Linked DNA regions of Sus scrofa. The protein of the gene in region 3 purifies or fractionates together with the protein of the main gene of each other region. This does not show direct contact. Links are inferred from orthologs where the notes say so. Each region holds a gene or a part of one and is shown on either strand. Other genes may lie near its edges.

Region 1 (4,196 bases), on a different chromosome or scaffold from region 3:
CTCCTTGAGAAATTCCTTTAGTAATTTGGAAAGACTCCCTTCGAGAATTCAAAAAAGAAAAGCTGGAATTCCTGTCTGGTTAGGGGTAACGAGTCTGACTAGCATCCATGAGAATGCAGGTAAAATCCCCAGCCCCCCAGGGTGGGTTAGGATCCCACCTTGCTATGAACTGTGGTGTATGTCACAGAGGCTGCTTAAATCCCACATTGCTGTGGCTGTGGAGTAGGACAGTGGCAACAGCTCCAATTCCACCCCTAGCCTGGGGAGCCTCCATATGCTGCGGATGTGGCCCTAAAAAAAGAAAGGACAAAAACAAAACAAAACAAAAAGTTCTTGTAGCTAGTTGCAATACCAGTAGAGATTTAGACTAGAAAACACAGGAGAATCTTATTGAAGGCAAGAGAATTTCACCTACAATAAAATTATTTCCTTTTCAATTTAAACGCAGTTTTTAGGAAATTACTTTCTGAAGCCAATGTTTCTAAGGCTAACTCCTAACACGCCTCCTCTTGCATATAATTTCACCTCTAAGACTTCTATCATTTGCTCTGTCTATATTCATGGGTAGTTTGTGTGTATTGATGAACTGAGTTTTTTTTTAAAAAGTTAAAATTCTTCCCTAAATTCTGTACATCTTCCATGGACTAGCGGTACTCTGTACTGACAAAGTCAGAGCACTGGACAACTTGCAAGAGAAACATAAGGATTAGAAGCATCTAGAATAGATGCATCACCTATGTTGGTCTTAAGTGGATATACTGAGGAGTAAGGTGTCTCTAAAGGATTATCCCAGGAACTCGGAAAATCCACTCATTCCAAGAATTCATTTTTGCTTCTTTGATTTGGTTAAGGTGGCTAGATTTGGTTAGGATCTTTCACTTGTATGACGGGGGTGGGGGGGTGGGGGTTGCTTCCGGGCACATTCAGCATTATTCCAGGCTTTCTCCCCATCGTGACTAAGGGGTACTCCGATTATACAAAGGAGTGTACATTGGGGTTGTATCTAAATAGTCCGATAGAACTATTAGAACAGAGACTTCAAATTCCTTAAGCACGCCTTCTTCCTCCCGGCCCCAAAGCACCAGCCGGATCCAAGATGGCTTCCTAGAGCCAGGTAACTAAATGTTATTTTAGTTTAGAGCGCCCCCAACGCCGGGGGTCAAGAAAAGAAGCCGAGAGATCTCAACGCCACAGAACTGACCCGTCAGAAGCAAGCTACCGCCAGATTTTATTTTCAATCAGGCATATCTGCGGTTGCCTCAGCCTTTTAGGACCTCCCACCCCAAGAGACTTCCTGGATGGCACTCACTCTACCCTGCTGGAGGAGGCCGGCCGTCGGCCCTGCCATTGGTGGATGGGAGCGTAGGTGGGCGGGCCCAAGGGAGAATGGACTACTAGCAAGCTAGATTGAAGCGAGGGCTGACCATGCTCCGCCGGAAGGCGCCTTGTTCTCAGAAAGGGTGAGTTGAAACGCTGGCTGGAAAGGAGGTACCAGGACTTGTTCAGGTAGGCTTTCCGCTCACGCCCGCCGCTTAGTGCTGGTCCAAGAGTCTTTGCAAACGCTGAGGCTCTTAGAATTGGTTTCCATAACTCATCCTCCTCCTCGCTCCCCCCGCCCCCTGCCCGTCCCCCAGTTGTGAGGAATCAGGTGCTGGGTGATGCTCTGGACTGAACCATTCTCCTTTGTGAGAGGCTGGGGGAGAGGGCGGCTGCCAGGCCCGGGGCCCGAGCCGGGCCGAGCCGCGAACCCGGCTGCTCTGAGCCCTGTGGAGTTTTCAAGGCTTGTCATTGCATTATTGAGCTTCGTGTAGATTTGAGACAGCTCCTTGTTCTCCTTGCTCCTTCCGTGGAGGGAAAACTCCCCGGCTCCTTTTGGTTACTCCATACTTTGGGCTCAGAAGTGGGAGGTTAGGGTTTTTTCCTTTTTTTTTTTTTTTCTGCTTGTTTTTTGCCTTTTAGTAATAAAGGTGGATAGGAAAGCATGGGGTGAACGTGGGCAGATTGGTTTACGTTATTAGATGTAATTTCTGTGGATCTTTGGGAGATCAGAGCAGGCTCTTGGACAGTGTTTAGAGATGGGGAAGAGAGAGGAACTCAAGCCTTGCATCTCCATTGACAGGTCTGCAGAGCTCAGTGGTTTTTCTGTTGCATTATGTAAACTCTTCACTAGCAGGAGATACCTCCCCCTGCCTCGGAGTGAATGCAATTTTTTATTTTCCGTCTCCTCTGTCGCAGGAAATTTCCCTGCCATTGCAGCAGCTGTGCACATGTAGCAGTTCCTACCTTTTAAGGAGCAGTCCCGAAATGATTAAGGCCTTTAAGGACGAGGTGAATAGTGGTGTGTTGATATTTAGTGGACCAATCTCTTTTGACTCTTTACGCTCAGTGACTGAGCATAGTGAGCCAGAAGTCGAAGACATGGCACTCCGTGTCTTTTTCTCTTAAAGAATAGACATGGTGGAACGCCCCAAACACCAAAGGTCCTGCATTTTCTGCATTGTCTGTGTCTGCTGCATCCTACCATCACACTAGCATCCACAGACTGTTTACTCTTCATCTTGTTCTAAACCTCTTCATCTTGTTCAATTGGGGATTCTCTGACAAGGGTATCTGTAACATCTGATGAGGTCCTATCTGGTGTGGGGTACTAGAAGGTGAGTTTGTGATTTGAATAATGTTAGTTAATTAGGTAATGTCTTCTGCTTAGGAATTTCTTTTGTATTAGTCACCAAATAAATTTCAGAACAAACTGTGGTCAACCTCTTAGGGCCAAAATGTGGGAAGCTTCTCATTCCAAGTATTTTGGATTATCCCACCCCTTAAAAGAAAAGAAGAGCTATAGAAAGGAAAAACAACATTTTCCATTTAGGAAGACCAGTCACAAGAATGGTATGCTGGTGGGTCTTCAAGGCAAGATGAAGGACATTGGCCAAAGAGAGGGTAACTGTGTATGGGAGAGGTAGGCATGGGGGGAGGTTTAAAACTGAAGTAGCAAAGGAGTAATGGATTGGGATAAGAGATGATGGAGCAATGCTTGGGGACTCGCAGCGTTCTTGCCTTTCCCATATTTGATCTGTCCTGTGCATTTGGCCTTTTGAGTGTGTCGTTTCCCAAATTGACAAAATTGATTTAGACACGGATAGAAAATGATAGAAATAGAAATCTGCTGAGCTGATCTGATCTGGTTGTGAACCACCATAAAACACAAATTTCCCAGGACAGCCTTCTCTGCCGCACCCATTGGGTCATGGGTAGCAGAATCTTGGCATTGTGGTAACCACCACTGTAGTTTGGTTTGTAACAGGAAAATTTGCCGTTTCATGTGTAGGGTCAAGTTTCTGATAGGTAAGGTAGGGTGGTGAAGGGGTTCAATCTTTAAAAGAAACCATTGCACACGTGTCCTTAGAAAAGGATGCCATTCGAGGGGGGCAAAGCTACCACTTAAGATTAATTTGTGAGTGCCAGGTACTGTGCTTGCTTACTGAAAGAATGGAATTTGATATTCTCATCTGTGGAAGGACTGTAACATTTTCATAGCAGCCAGCTGAATGCTAAACGCTTTGAAGATATTTGTCCACAGTCCTGAAAGGCTTAAGCTATGCTCTGAGCTTACGCTGAGCCTAATACCCAAAGGATGACACATATTTTTCTGAACCCTCTACTCTCAACCCCTAAAAGTCACTCCACTTCTGGAGTTGCATCTGAGCAAGTCCCTGATGTGCAGGTCTTTGCTGGACCTATCCTTGCACTACTGTGACCAACTTAGTATTTACTGTTTTACTTTTAGCATTTGATCCATTGGTATACTATCATGTTATATGTTCCTTTAGTTAGTTAGTTATTCTTTTTCTCACAGTCAGTGGTCTTCCCTTTATCTTCCTGTTATGATTTTGTTCATGTTGCCTTTAGTTTTAACTTACATTGTGCTTTTTTGCATCTGTCTTGTTGAAGCCACTTAAGAATGCAGAAAGACCTAATTTTCAAGCTGTGGTTTCTTGGGTACCTAGTACCCAGGTAACAGTTGTTTATCTGTATAAGAAAGCTGCAGTATGAACCACTTATTATTGCCTAAAGGTTAATTTAACCATTTATTACGTTCTAAATTTTATCCTGAATAACCTCCCCCTGACCCATTTTATTTTGTGTGTATACCTGTGTAAAGTTGTAATTCAACTTTTTTTTTTTTTGCATTTGTT
Region 2 (4,191 bases), on a different chromosome or scaffold from region 3:
CTAAATCTACTTTTGCTTTCTCATGAAGAAAGGTCAAAATGCCTTTTGCTTTAATAACACACGTAAGACTGCTGCAGTCCTCTGAAATGAAAGCAAACCCTCCTAGCCAGCAAGGATAAAAATGTATGGATTATTTAGTGTTCAACTCAACTCATACCTGGTTTACTGGCTATCTTTTAAATCCTTGATCTTTGAAGAAGACACACAGGACTAAAAAAAGATTACCAATCCTGATAATTTTTCTTACACTACAAAAATTTAGCAAAAAAAAAAAAAAAAAAAAATATATATATATATATATACACACGTAAAATAACACACACTACCTCCCCAAAAAAGAGGCTTAAAATATTTTTAAGTGGAGTTCCCGTCGTGGCGCAGTGGTTAACGAATCTGACTAGGAACCATGAGGTTGCGGGTTCGATCCCTGCCCTTGCTCAGTGGGTTAAGGATCCGGCGTTGCCGTGAGCTGTGGTGTAGGTTGCAGACGCGGCTCGGATCCCGCGTTGCTGTGGCTGTGGCGCAGGCCGGTGGCTGTGGCTCCAGTTTGACCCCTAGCCTGGGAACCTCCATATGCCACTGGAGCGGCCCAAAGAAATAGCAAAAAGACATATATATTTTTTTTTAAGTGATGTTTTCCATTACCTGACCGTATCAAGGCCGTCAGACCGCTTCATTAGGGAAATGAATGAGGCAACAAAGGTTAGGAAGTCGATTTAATCATATATTAGCTAAGAATTAACAGCATAAGGCTTAAAAAGAGCAGACTGAGGGAGCGCCTTCAGGGCATAGGCGCTGTCACCGCAGCACAGGCTTGGCCAAAAAAAAAAAAAAAAAAAAAAAAAAACAAGATTCCAGGACTAAAATGGGTTTTTAAAAAATCAATTTTGTTAAACCCATGGTTCTAAGAAGGCAGAGGCAATGAGTATGCAGTTCGTCGAGCACAGAAAGCTGGGCGGCCTGGAATCCCACTGGGCACTGGCTTTGGGGGCTGAGTGGTTGTCCTCTGGGAGCCACCCTCATCTGCAAAACCTAGATGGGGCAGTGCCCCAGGCCTTGGCTCAGGCAGGAATTAAAAGAGCGACTACATGGGAAGCACTCAGAGCAAAGCCTAGCAAACAACTAAGTGCCCAATACAAGTCAGTCACTACGACCATGACGACAGTGTCACATCTCACATGGCTCCACCTGTTAGGAATTTACTCAGACTCTTTACCAAAGAGCAAAAACCGTGAGTCTCCTCTTCAGTTCTTAGCAAGTGAGCACTCAGTTAAAGAGCTCTTTACACTCCTACTGAGAGAGAGCAACCAGGTAGGAGATGAAGAGTCTAAATCTATCCTCCAAAAACGTACAATTAACAGTAAGTCTCCCAATTGATAGGTTTCATATTCGATAAGCATTCAAGTATCATTTCCTATCTATCTCACTTGCTTCTTAGCACTTTAAGGACTTTTACGTCAATTTGTTTAAGTATATTTCCCTTGGCTAAAAAATTTAAGATACCAAAAAAGAGACAAAAAGTTAAAAATGCGGAGTTCCTGTTGTGGCTCAGTGGCAACGAACCCGACTACCATCCATGAGGATGCAGTTTCAATCCCTGGCCTTGCTTAGTGGGGCTCAAGGATCCAGCATGGCTCCAAGCTGCTGTGTGTGTCGCAGACTGGGCTCCGTGGGATCTGGCGTTGCAGTGAATGTGGGTGGCATAGGCCGAGTTCATCTCTAGCCTGGGAACTTCCATATGCTGCACATGTGGCCCTTTAAAAAAAAAAAAAAAGTTAAAAATGCAAAGTCCTCAAAAAAGTTGAAACCACAATTTCACATGTAGTGTTTGAGTTGGCTATTACAAGTCCTAGGCAAATGGATTATACACAAAGTGGACATTAGAGAGCCATCACTGCAACACATTCCCATAACATGATGGCAACCAAGAGAGAAGTGCTTGCACCCTCGATGCTGACACAGAAACCCGGGTGTTAAGATGGCCAGCTACTTGCATCTGAGTCACAGGTGGCTACCACCTTCAGATGAAATGCTCTTGGGACAGACCCCTCGAGCTGGGCAGGGCGAGCCCTGCACTGTGGAAGCCGACGGTGTGGGCCCGGGGCCAGCCGCTCGCACAGGTGGGGTCTTGAGCCCGGGCAGCGGCCAAGGCCGGGAGCCAGGCTTCGCGCAGGGCCGTCTGCAGGGCCCCCGGCCCCCCGTCCAGCTTCAGTAACAGGGCACGCTCCGCTCCCCTGTCACGAACCCGTACACTCACTTCAAAACAAGAGGTTTTCACGCTCATCTCGATTTTCTGCACAACTCTGACCTTACAAACACGTCCCCACAGTACGAGCCACGAAACTCCGAGTCTGCCTGGGGATTTCAGCGCCGCGGAGCACGGCCGCGGCCCCCAGCTGAGTCCGCCACCGGGACAGCGTGTTTGCAGTGCTTTCCGCGTCTGTTTCGCCCAAGGACTCAACTCCTCCCGAGCTACTCTCCCAAACGCACACGGCGCCCCAGGCCGCCGCCGCCGCCGCCGCCGAGGAAAGTGTTTCCGCCCGGGAGGAAAGTTTGATTCCACGGCGAGGACGACGGCCCCGGGAACCGGCGCGGAAACCGCCAAAAGGACGGGGCGCCGCGCGGGGCTGGGCCGCGGCGCCGGGACAGGCGGCCCGGACGCACCAGCCCGCCGCCCGCAGGCCCCTCCCCGCCCGCCACCCCCGGCCCGGCCCGGCCCGGCCCGCTCCTCACCTTCGGGGACTGCGCTCCGGGCGTGGCCGGGTCGCTGTCGCACGGCCGCGGGGACAGCGCCGACCCGGGGCCGCCCGCCGCCGCCATCAGCCCGAGCGCCCCGCGCCGCCGCCGCCGCCGCCGCCGCCGCCTCGTCCCGGCCGCCGCCGCCGCTGCCGCCGCCGCCGCCGCCGCCGCGCGGGCCGCCCGCCGCCCGGGCCCCGCCCCCTCCGCCCGCCCGCCGCCCGGGGGCCGGCCCCTGCCTCCGCGCGCCCCGCGGCCCGCCAGCGCCGCCGCCACCGCCATGGCCGCCGCCAGCGCGCCGCCCGCCGCCGCCGCCGCCGCCGAGCCCGCCGCCCTGCCGCCGCCGCCGCCGCCGCGCCCGCCGCGCCCGCCGCCGTGCGCGCCCGCCGGGCCCTCGGCCACCGCCGCCGCCGCCGCGCCCGCCGGCCCCGGGCCGCTCCCCTCGGCCCCGCGCGGCCCGCGCCCGTCTCCCCGCCTCCCGGCCGCCGCAGCCCGGCGCGCTCCGCGGCCCCACCTCCCGCCGCTGCCTCAGCCCCCAGCCCCGCCCCGGCCCGCCGCCCCCCGGCCCGGCCCGGCCCCTCGCACGTCAGCCCTCTCCTCCCACCGGGGCTCCCCGCCCCGCCGCGCCCCGCCCCTCGCCCTCCAGCCGAGGGTCCCCGCCCCCGCCGCCTCCCTCCCGGGGGCCCCCGCCCCCTCCGGCCAGGGGGTCCCCGCCGCCCCGCCCCCGCCCCGCCCCGCCTCCCAAGGGGCCCCGCCCCCTGCCCCTAAGCCCCGAGGGGCCCTCCTCCCGCCGCCTCCCGCGGTCCCTCCTCCCGGTGGCCCCGCCCCCTCGCCTTCCCGGGGGTCCCCACCTCCTAACCCCTCCCTCCCAGGGGTCCCCTCCCCTCCGCTCGCCCTCCATCCGGAGGGCCCCTTCTCCCGCCCTCCCAGCCGTCCCTCCCAGATGATCCCCCCCACTCCGACCCAGGGTTCCCCGCCGCCCCGCCCCCTCCTGGCGTTCCCGGGGGTCCCCACCTCTCTTGCCCCTCCCTCCCCTCCCCCCGCTCTCCAGGCCGAGGGTCCCTTCTCCCTCCGTCCCTCGAGGATGTCCCCGCCCCCTCCGTCCCAGGGGTCTCCGCCGCCCGCCCCCTCCTCCTCTTCTGGGGGTCCCCGCCCCTTGCCCCTCCCGCCCGCCCGGGGTCCCCTCCCCTCCCTTCCCTTCTCCTCGCCCGCGGGCTAGTCTTGGTGGGATGTGGAGGGACCTGGCTTGTCCTGAGTTCCCGGCTCCCGTGGCTGCCCGTTATCCGCCTTTGTTCTCTGCTCGCAGCCTTGAGGTCTCTTGGACTCCACCTGCCGTGGAAACTGTACTTTCCAAAAACATCCTCAGCTTGCTTGCATTTGCAGATTTTACCCACTTCCACCTCTGTACGTGCTGCAACCATAAAATGTGCAGGTTCACAGTACGACTGTTGGAAT
Region 3 (3,559 bases):
TGGCAGCTACAGCTCCAATTCGACCCCTAGCCTAAGAACCTCCATATGCCACCGGTGCGGCCCTAAAAAAAGACCAAAAAACAAAAAAAACCCACCAAACCTCTAGTGTCATCACTTTTGAGGCTAAGCTTTGATCCCTGACCTGTGAATTTCTGCATGCCAAGGGTGTGGCCAAAAAAAAAAAAAAGGCAACTTACCTGAAAGATATTAGAAATGGCATCCAGAATAACCAGGATAATTTTGGTATCTTTTGCAGTTAAGAGGTTCATCAATGGTTCTATTATGCCACAGTGGACAAGGTACACGATCTGTTCAACTGTTCCACCACTTGTGTAATTGGTCACAGCCCATACAGCTTCCTTTTGTGTCTTAAAGTCTGCCTAATAAACACAAGAAAACAGGTGTATTTCAGAATGGGCATAAAAATAAGATTCCAAAAGTACTCTTTTAGAAAAATAGTGACTAAAACTACCATCTGACTATTATTTAGCAAAAGACTATAAGTAGGACCTAACATTAGTACATTAAGAACCTTATGAAGTACAGTTCTACCAAGTGGCCTCTGGAAGCAATCCTTTATGAAGGCCTAAGGCTTCTTACCTTCGAGAGAACGCCAACAAGGAATGGGACCAATCCATGATTTACAACTTGCTGTATCTGGTCCTGGCGACCAGCTGTAATATTTGACATTGTCCACGTAGCCTCCTTCTGAATATTTGTTTTGGAGTTTGTTAGCAGGCTGGGAAAGACGGCGAGTGCTCCTGCATCTATGACAACCTGCGTCTGTTCATCTGTGCCAGTGACAATGTTTCCTATTGCTCTTAGTGCAGGAGTCTGGAAAGGGAAAAATGCTGATGTTGCTGGTTATCCTTCATCGTTTCTACCACTGCTCGAAGTCGCTACACCCTAAAAGTCTGGACAAGAGGCTCATTGTGGCCTAAAATAGGTAGTATGTCAATATTAGTACTGACTGATTATGCTCTTCATACTTTATTTCTCATTTGAAAATTAACTTACCACAATCGGCAGTTCAGTGGCTCCTAAAAGCTTCACAAGTTGGGGTACGACCCCTGTCTTCACAACCATTTCAATCCGTTCATTTGGACCATCGGTAAGGTAGGAAATAGCCCAGCAGGTATCTGCTAAAACTTCTGGATCATCGTGATGTAGGAGACGAACTAAAGTAGGAAGAATTTGCTCAACAGCATCTAAGGGGGGTGCAGGATTCTTGTTGCGACAAAGGTTTGAAAGTGTCCAGGTAAGATTACGTAAGTAACCACACTGGGGGAAAAGAAAAATGCAATGAAGTTCTCCATTTTTTGAGGGGGTGGGCAAAATCAGAATCAACAAGTAACTTGACTTATGGTTAAGTAACTTACTGCTAATGATGACATATCAGGAACCGCGAGAAGAGCCAACAGCGGGTCAACCGCACCGTACTTGATAACCAAGTCTCGGAAAACGGAACCATCCCCTTAAAAAAAATTTAAAAAGGCAAGGTTAATCATAACTACTTGTCTAGCACCATCAATTTCACTGACTGAGTACCAGTGTCTTGATACAAGGAAACACTCAGATAGTTCCTAAAATAAATAAATGACACTTTTACCTCTTATAAGCACTGGAAGCAAGTTCAATCCCTAACTCAAAGGCACTTCAACCAACCTCAGTATTAGAGACATTCAGTCAAAAGAACTTGAAATCCAAGTACCTGCGATGTTTCCGAGAGCCCACACAGCTTGTTCACTGATGTGAGCATGGGGAGATGCCAACAGAGAAATGAATGCTGGGATAGCACCTCCATCTACAACAGCCTTGGTCTGTTCTGATGTTCCAGAGGCAATGTTAGTGAGGGCCCAAGCAGACTCAAACTGAATGGGACTACAATCCATTCTGCCCAGGAAGGACACAAATTTTGGAATCAAACCAGCCCGGATTATGTTGTCTATGGGAGGCTGTTTTTCCCTAGAAAGCAGTTTCCTAAGGGTAAATAAAAGGAGAAACAAAAGATGAAGGTAATTAACAAAATAGGTTTGAGTGAAAAACAATTTAAAATGTAACTCAGGAGTTCAGAGCATTAGACAACCTTTTACAGTAAAGCACTAAGTGCTGAGATATCCTAAAATTTAAGAGGACCTCAACAGACTGGTTGCATGGTGCTATTATATGTGATGTCTTAAATTACCTTTTTCCCCCATACTGAAATACTACCAATAATGTAGAACCCTTCTCGATGCATCCCTGCAGAAATCTACTTTAGGTCTTGTCACTTTTAAAAAATTGACAATCTGGGAGTTCCTGTTGTGGCATAGTGGAAACGAATCCGACTAGGAATCATGAGGTTTCAGGTTCAATCCCTGGCCTCGCTCAGTAGGTTAAGGATCCAGCGTTGCCGTGAGCTGTGGTGTAGGTCGCAGATGCAGCTCAGATCCAGTGTTTCTGTGGCTCTGGTGTAGGCCGGTGGCTACAAGCCCTGATTAGACCCCTAGCCTGGGAACCTCCATATGCCACAGGTGTGGCCCTAAAAAGACCAAAAACAAAAAACAAAAAAAATCCAAAAAAAACTAACAATCTGATAGCATTACACTCTCATTTAACATTTTTCCATGATCATCTGTCAACTAGATTTGCTTTTCTGCACACTGTCAAGCCAGAGATTATTAATCCTTGCTAAAATGGATGTCAAAACTATTTGTCTACAGAGATAAGAGTCTAAAAATATACTTATTTCCTAAATGGGTGGACCAATCCCACTTACTGAATAATTCCTTCTTCCCTGACACTGACTTAAAATGCCATGTTGATAAAAACTTTGTAATTTTCTTAAATATACACCAAAAAGCTAATAATCATTATCAGTGGAGGTGCATGGAGTCTTTGGCAATTACTGAAATCTTTAAATTCTCTCAAGGGAAGATTCTAATGAAAACAGGCCTATGCATGGCTTAACTTTGACTTTACCCAAACCACCTCTTTCCCACCAAAAAAAAAAAAAAAAAAAAAAATCTAAAAATCTAAAAAGGCTATCCATGCTATAGAGACAAGGCTTACCTAGCAGCTTGAGTAGCCTGGAGCTGGCTTTCCAAATTGTTGCTATTTATGCCTTTGACAATGTCATCGACAGACCAATTTACGGTGCCCTAAGAGAACAGTGGAATTAATTTTGCAAACTATCATTTTTTTAAGATTAACTACAAACAGTAAAATCCCTACCAGCAATGTGTAAACTGTTCTAACAGCTATGAAAAGTTTAGCCTACATTTTTTTTTCTTTGGCCATACCCACATGTGGAAGTTCCTGGGCCAGGGACTGAACCCACACTGCAGTTGCCACCTGCCTCATAGCTGCAGCAATGCTGGATCCTCAAGCTGCTGCACCACAGGGGAACTTCTGAATCCTACATTTAAATCTGCCTAATTAAATGTTCATTATTTAATATGTAGAACAGTTGTCAAACTTGGTGTCATGATTCAATGAAGTCTCAAGTAATGAGAGTACCCCCAGCAAACTGTTGCTAAAAAAAAAAGTGGCTGTGAACAATTAAAAAAATAAAATTAGA
Region 4 (4,238 bases), on a different chromosome or scaffold from region 3:
GGGGACTGCTGGAATGTTGAGAAATAGTCTTTAGGTGGGCATTTGTAATTATTATGGGATGCTCTGAGGTGAACTGAACTTTATGTGAATGGCTCATCTGACCAGCTTGGTATTTGGTGGGTCTTACTCAAAATTTAACTGGAGGTAAGTGTTGCTAAGTGTCTGGAGAACATCTGGATTTTGGTGGGATTGGGTGGGGCTCAGTCCAGTTCCTGCATGTCTGAAAATGATGGATGAGGAAAGCTAGAGTCTGTCCTAGACATCAAGAGACTTTGTGCCAGGATACTGCTTTGGGCCATTAAGGGCTGAAGGTGTGTACAAGTTGGGGCGGGGACAGGGCAATGTGGATAGCCTGCTTCACCCTTGCTGGTGTGGGAGTTAGGGTTTTAGACTGACAGCCTCTGGAGATGGGGGAGGGATGAGTATAAATATTATGGGATGCCTGACTGGAAAGGTATAGGGGTGGTAGAGATGAGCATTATGGGACCTGACTCTGGGTTGTGTTGGGAGTATTATTGTATGTTTGCTTGACCACAGGTTCTTTGTCATTATTATGGGATGTCAGGGTGTGGGTGGGGGAGTAAAATTATGGGATATCTTTCCAGTGCTAGAGGAAAGGAGTTTGGATGTCCATCTGTGAGGTGACTGTAGGGCTGTTGATCATTATGGATATCTCTGATAGAGGAGGAGTGGTTATTATGGGCTGTGGAGTGGGAATGAACGTCTGAAGCCTTGGGGTCGAGTTTTGAGGTTCTAGCCCACAGGGGCTGAGGGCAGCTCCCCAGGGGGTTGGTTATTATGGGATGTCAGTACAGAAAGTGGGAGACTGATTACTACGGGATGTGTGTGGGAAGTGGGAAGAGGCCGAAGTGTCCGTTGTTGGGGGGGGGTGAGTTTCTGACTATTATGGGATATCAAACTGGGGGTGGATGAAGAGTGGTTATTATGGGATGTCTGTGGGGGATGGGGATGAGTATTATGGGATGTGAGCATGAAGAGCGGGTAGGGGTGCTTATTATGGGATGGCCATGGGGAGGGAGAGGTGACGAATTATTATGGGATGTTAGCATTAGGGCCAAGAGTGAAGAAGTTGGCAAAGGATGGCTATTATGGGATGTCTAGGGGAGGGGTAAAGTGTTAGTTGCAAAAGGTCTGCAATATCATGAGATGTCAACATCCCTGGCATATATGTATATGTGTATGGAGTGCGTGCGCGTGGGGGGGTGATGGTTGTGGTGGTGGTGGTGGTACGGTGGTGGTGGTGGTGGTGGTGTCCGTGTGTATTATGGGATGGCCAGGAGGTGGGTGGTTGCCCGGGTGACACGCGCGCGCGCGCTCGAAGGGGGCGTGGCCAGTGGTTGCTGAGCGACGAGGGGGCGGGGGTTGCCCGGGAGACCTAGGGAGGAGGGTGGCGGTAGTGGAGGGGGGGTTGGAGTTGGTTGAGGTTATTATGGGCTGTCCGTGGGGGGGCGGGGCCTGTGCGGTGGGATTTCCCGGCCGGTGTTTCGGGCCCTTTAAGAGGCGACGCTGGAGCCGGAGCCATTTTCCCCCCTTCGGCCGCGGCGAGGAGGAGCCGGAGCGGGAGTGACACCCGGCCGGACCCTGCGCGACCTGCGGCGGCTCCGGGGTGAGGAGAGCGCGGGGTTCCCAGACAGAAGCCCCTCTCATCCCGACCGGCCCCGAGGGTCATCCCTCCACCCAGCCTCTCTTCGGGCGTCCCCGGACCCGCAGACCGCCCCCTGCCCGGGAAGCCGACCCTGCCTCTCCTTCCCCTGCAGGGCGCCCAGCCCCCGCCCTCGCCCTGCCCGACTCTAGCTCTCCGCGACTCCCACCTCGGGCTTTGCCTCCCACAATGCCCGGCGCCCCCCTCGCCCTTTGCTCACTTGCCCCCCGGGACACGTGGCCCGGCCCCCCGCCTGGTGGGAGCCCCGGCCCCCCACGCCCCTGCCTCCAGCCCCCCGGAGCGCCGAGCCTCCACGCCCCCTCGTCCCCGCGGCTTCTCCGGAGAACCCGAGTTGTCCCAGAGGACAGCCTTTGGAGAGCTGCCCTGTCTGGGGACTGGCCCCTCCCCAGGCGCAGGGAGTCGCCCCCCCACCCCCAAGTGACCTTGTGTCCCCAAGCGCCTCGCCGCCGGCCGCCTCCCCCGATCCTCCCCCCACCCCCCCCGCGCCGCGGCCACTCGGACCCCCTCCCCCGACACGCCCGGCTCAGTTCAGCGGCTTCTCCCCTCCCTACGCCGGCACCGGCTTGCCCTCGGGGGCGCCGCTTCCTCCGGTCTGGGGGGCTCCAGCCCGGGAGCCGGCTTCCGGGCTGCCCCTGGGAGTGTGGAACTAAGTTCAGCCTGAGTGGTTCGGGTGCCCTGCTCGGGTGGCTGAGGGGTGGGGGGGCCGGGGGTGGGCGGAAAGCGCGGCGGGGTGGGGGAGGGGGCCGTGCGCGTCACTGACTGTTCTCTTTCTCTCCCCCCTCCCCCGCACAGTGACTCGGGCCAGTGTCGAGGGCCCCAGGCCGCAGGCAGGAGCAGCTGGGCCAATTCCCTGGCCGGGAGCGGAAGGGGATGGCGTCGGGCCTGGGCTCCCCGTCCCCCTGCTCAGCGGGCAGTGAGGAGGAGGATATGGATGCACTTTTGAACAACAGCCTGCCCCCACCCCACCCAGGTAACATCTTCCCCAAGGGCCCCGGGCAGGAAGGAGCCATCTGGGCCCTCCCTAGTGGCTCCGTGAGGCAGGGTTGAGTTTCTGGGCTTGCTCTGTGCAGTGAGAGGTGGAGGGCATCCGAAGGGAGTGGTTCTCTTCTGCGGAGCTCTTGTGCGAGGGGGTTGGAAGCCATGTGCCTCCCGGGCTGCGCGGACCGAGATGCAAGCTTGCTGCACTGCCTTCGGGAATTGCTCTGCAGTTCCCGGTTGAGGGAGCTCTCTGGGCTGGCAGGCTTTGTGGGTCCTTGGAGGAATGCAGGTGGCTGGGACCCCTGGAGGCTGTGCAGTGGGGAAGGGGCTGGGTTGAGGATCGCTTTTGGAGGAGACCAGCCGGGCATCTCTGCCGGTAGGATCCTGTGATTGCTGCTGTGGAAAAGAAAGAGGGAGTGCTGGTTACTCTCTGATTATTTTTAGCTTCTGATCAGTTACCGGCTTTCTGTGCTGTTTCAACTGTGTGAAGTTTGAATTGCGCTCCGAAGCTGGAATCTAGAGTGCTCTTAGCCAGGCAGATTGCTGGAATGTTTTGAGTGGGGCTAGGAGTGGGATGTAGTAGCCTGCAGGGTATACTCCAAGGGACAGAAAGAAGAGAGATGACACTCTGGGCACCTCTCTTCCTCGGGCAAGTGGACTTAATCCTGGCTTTTTTCTCTAGACGGTTCTGCCCTGTGCAGGTAGCCTGGGGTTTGGACTGGTGGTGTGAGGTGTTTGTGTAGGTGTGTTGGGGGTTGTGTTGTCTGTGTTTTGGGGTGGGTCCTTGCACTGGCCAAACCCGAATGGTTATGCATCCTGCCTGGTTGGAATGGCTCTTGTTTGTCCTCAAGTGATGATTGGTGTTATGTGTCTAAGTGAATGTCTCTCTTCTCTGTCTGTCTTCAGATCCCTTAGCTAAGTCACCTCCTTGTTTCCTTGACCTTTTTTTCGTAGCTTTGTTTTTTTCTACGTGCTGTTTCTTCATCTTTTCTGTTTGTGGTTTTATTTTAATTCTGGAGCTTGCTAGTCCTGTATTTGTTTCCCATCAAATGTTTTTCACTTTTGCCTTCTCTCTCCATAGTTCCAACTGCAAGTTGAGGTGGTCTGGGAGAGATGTTTCTACTTTGGCACTTTCTAAGTTGGAAGTCTTCGCTTCAATCCGAGGCCATTTAGGAGAGGGTCAGTCTTGTCATTGAGTCTTCAGCTGTGGGGATGAGAAACTTAGGCTTGAGTCTCATCACTGTGTAGGGCGAGGTGGCAGATTTCTGTGCTGTGGCCCAAGGTGGGGTGGAGAATGGCGGTAGTGGTGAGGTGGTTCCATCCTGGCTTTGAGGGGCATGAGGAGTAGCCGGGCCGTCCAGCCAGCGTTGGTTCCACATCTTGGTTTCCCATTGGCCCCTTGGTCTGGGGCTGCCCCTGTGTTGATTGGGAGCTGTGCAGGCTCCCACGGTGAACTCTGCCCCAAGCTGTAGCGTGACCCAGTTTTTCCACTTGCCACACCTCATTCCTGCCCCTTTCCCAAATCTTCCCCTGTATCTCAGCCAGTTTGTCGCTTGCCGTATCAGTACATCTGCCT

The links. The genes of interacting proteins can lie anywhere in the genome.
Region 1: the proteins of KPNA2 (region 3) and CHD8 purify together in Homo sapiens (affinity purification with mass spectrometry; 4 studies listed by BioGRID and IntAct, with this or other methods). This does not show direct contact. The link is inferred for Sus scrofa from reciprocal best matches to the Homo sapiens genes KPNA2 and CHD8.
Region 2: the proteins of KPNA2 (region 3) and PHF10 purify together in Homo sapiens (co-immunoprecipitation; 3 studies listed by BioGRID and IntAct, with this or other methods). This does not show direct contact. The link is inferred for Sus scrofa from reciprocal best matches to the Homo sapiens genes KPNA2 and PHF10.
Region 4: the proteins of KPNA2 (region 3) and CHD4 purify together in Homo sapiens (affinity purification with mass spectrometry; 3 studies listed by BioGRID and IntAct, with this or other methods). This does not show direct contact. The link is inferred for Sus scrofa from reciprocal best matches to the Homo sapiens genes KPNA2 and CHD4.

Annotation. Positions count from the first base shown.
Region 1 is NC_010449.5:77,718,129-77,722,324, forward strand, and holds the start of CHD8 (chromodomain-helicase-DNA-binding protein 8), read left to right. Parts: upstream 1-1,347; 5' UTR 1,348-1,460; exon of another isoform or gene 1,461-1,506; intron 1,507-4,196. UniProt on the Homo sapiens protein: ATP-dependent chromatin-remodeling factor, it slides nucleosomes along DNA; nucleosome sliding requires ATP. Acts as a transcription repressor by remodeling chromatin structure and recruiting histone H1 to target genes.
Region 2 is NC_010443.5:555,556-559,746, reverse strand, and holds the start of PHF10 (PHD finger protein 10), read right to left. Parts: upstream 2,850-4,191; 5' UTR 2,821-2,849; coding exon 2,734-2,820; intron 2,683-2,733; exon of another isoform or gene 2,309-2,682; intron 1-2,308. UniProt on the Homo sapiens protein: Involved in transcription activity regulation by chromatin remodeling. Belongs to the neural progenitors-specific chromatin remodeling complex (npBAF complex) and is required for the proliferation of neural progenitors.
Region 3 is NC_010454.4:14,289,542-14,293,100, reverse strand, and holds part of KPNA2 (importin subunit alpha-1), read right to left. Parts: intron 3,141-3,559; coding exon 3,052-3,140; intron 1,981-3,051; coding exon 1,712-1,980; intron 1,475-1,711; coding exon 1,380-1,474; intron 1,282-1,379; coding exon 1,018-1,281; intron 835-1,017; coding exon 601-834; intron 381-600; coding exon 198-380; intron 1-197.
Region 4 is NC_010447.5:64,070,238-64,074,475, forward strand, and holds the start of CHD4 (chromodomain-helicase-DNA-binding protein 4), read left to right. Parts: upstream 1-1,389; 5' UTR 1,390-1,627; intron 1,628-2,032; exon of another isoform or gene 2,033-2,334; intron 2,335-2,476; 5' UTR 2,477-2,554; coding exon 2,555-2,654; intron 2,655-4,238. UniProt on the Homo sapiens protein: ATP-dependent chromatin-remodeling factor that binds and distorts nucleosomal DNA. Acts as a component of the histone deacetylase NuRD complex which participates in the remodeling of chromatin.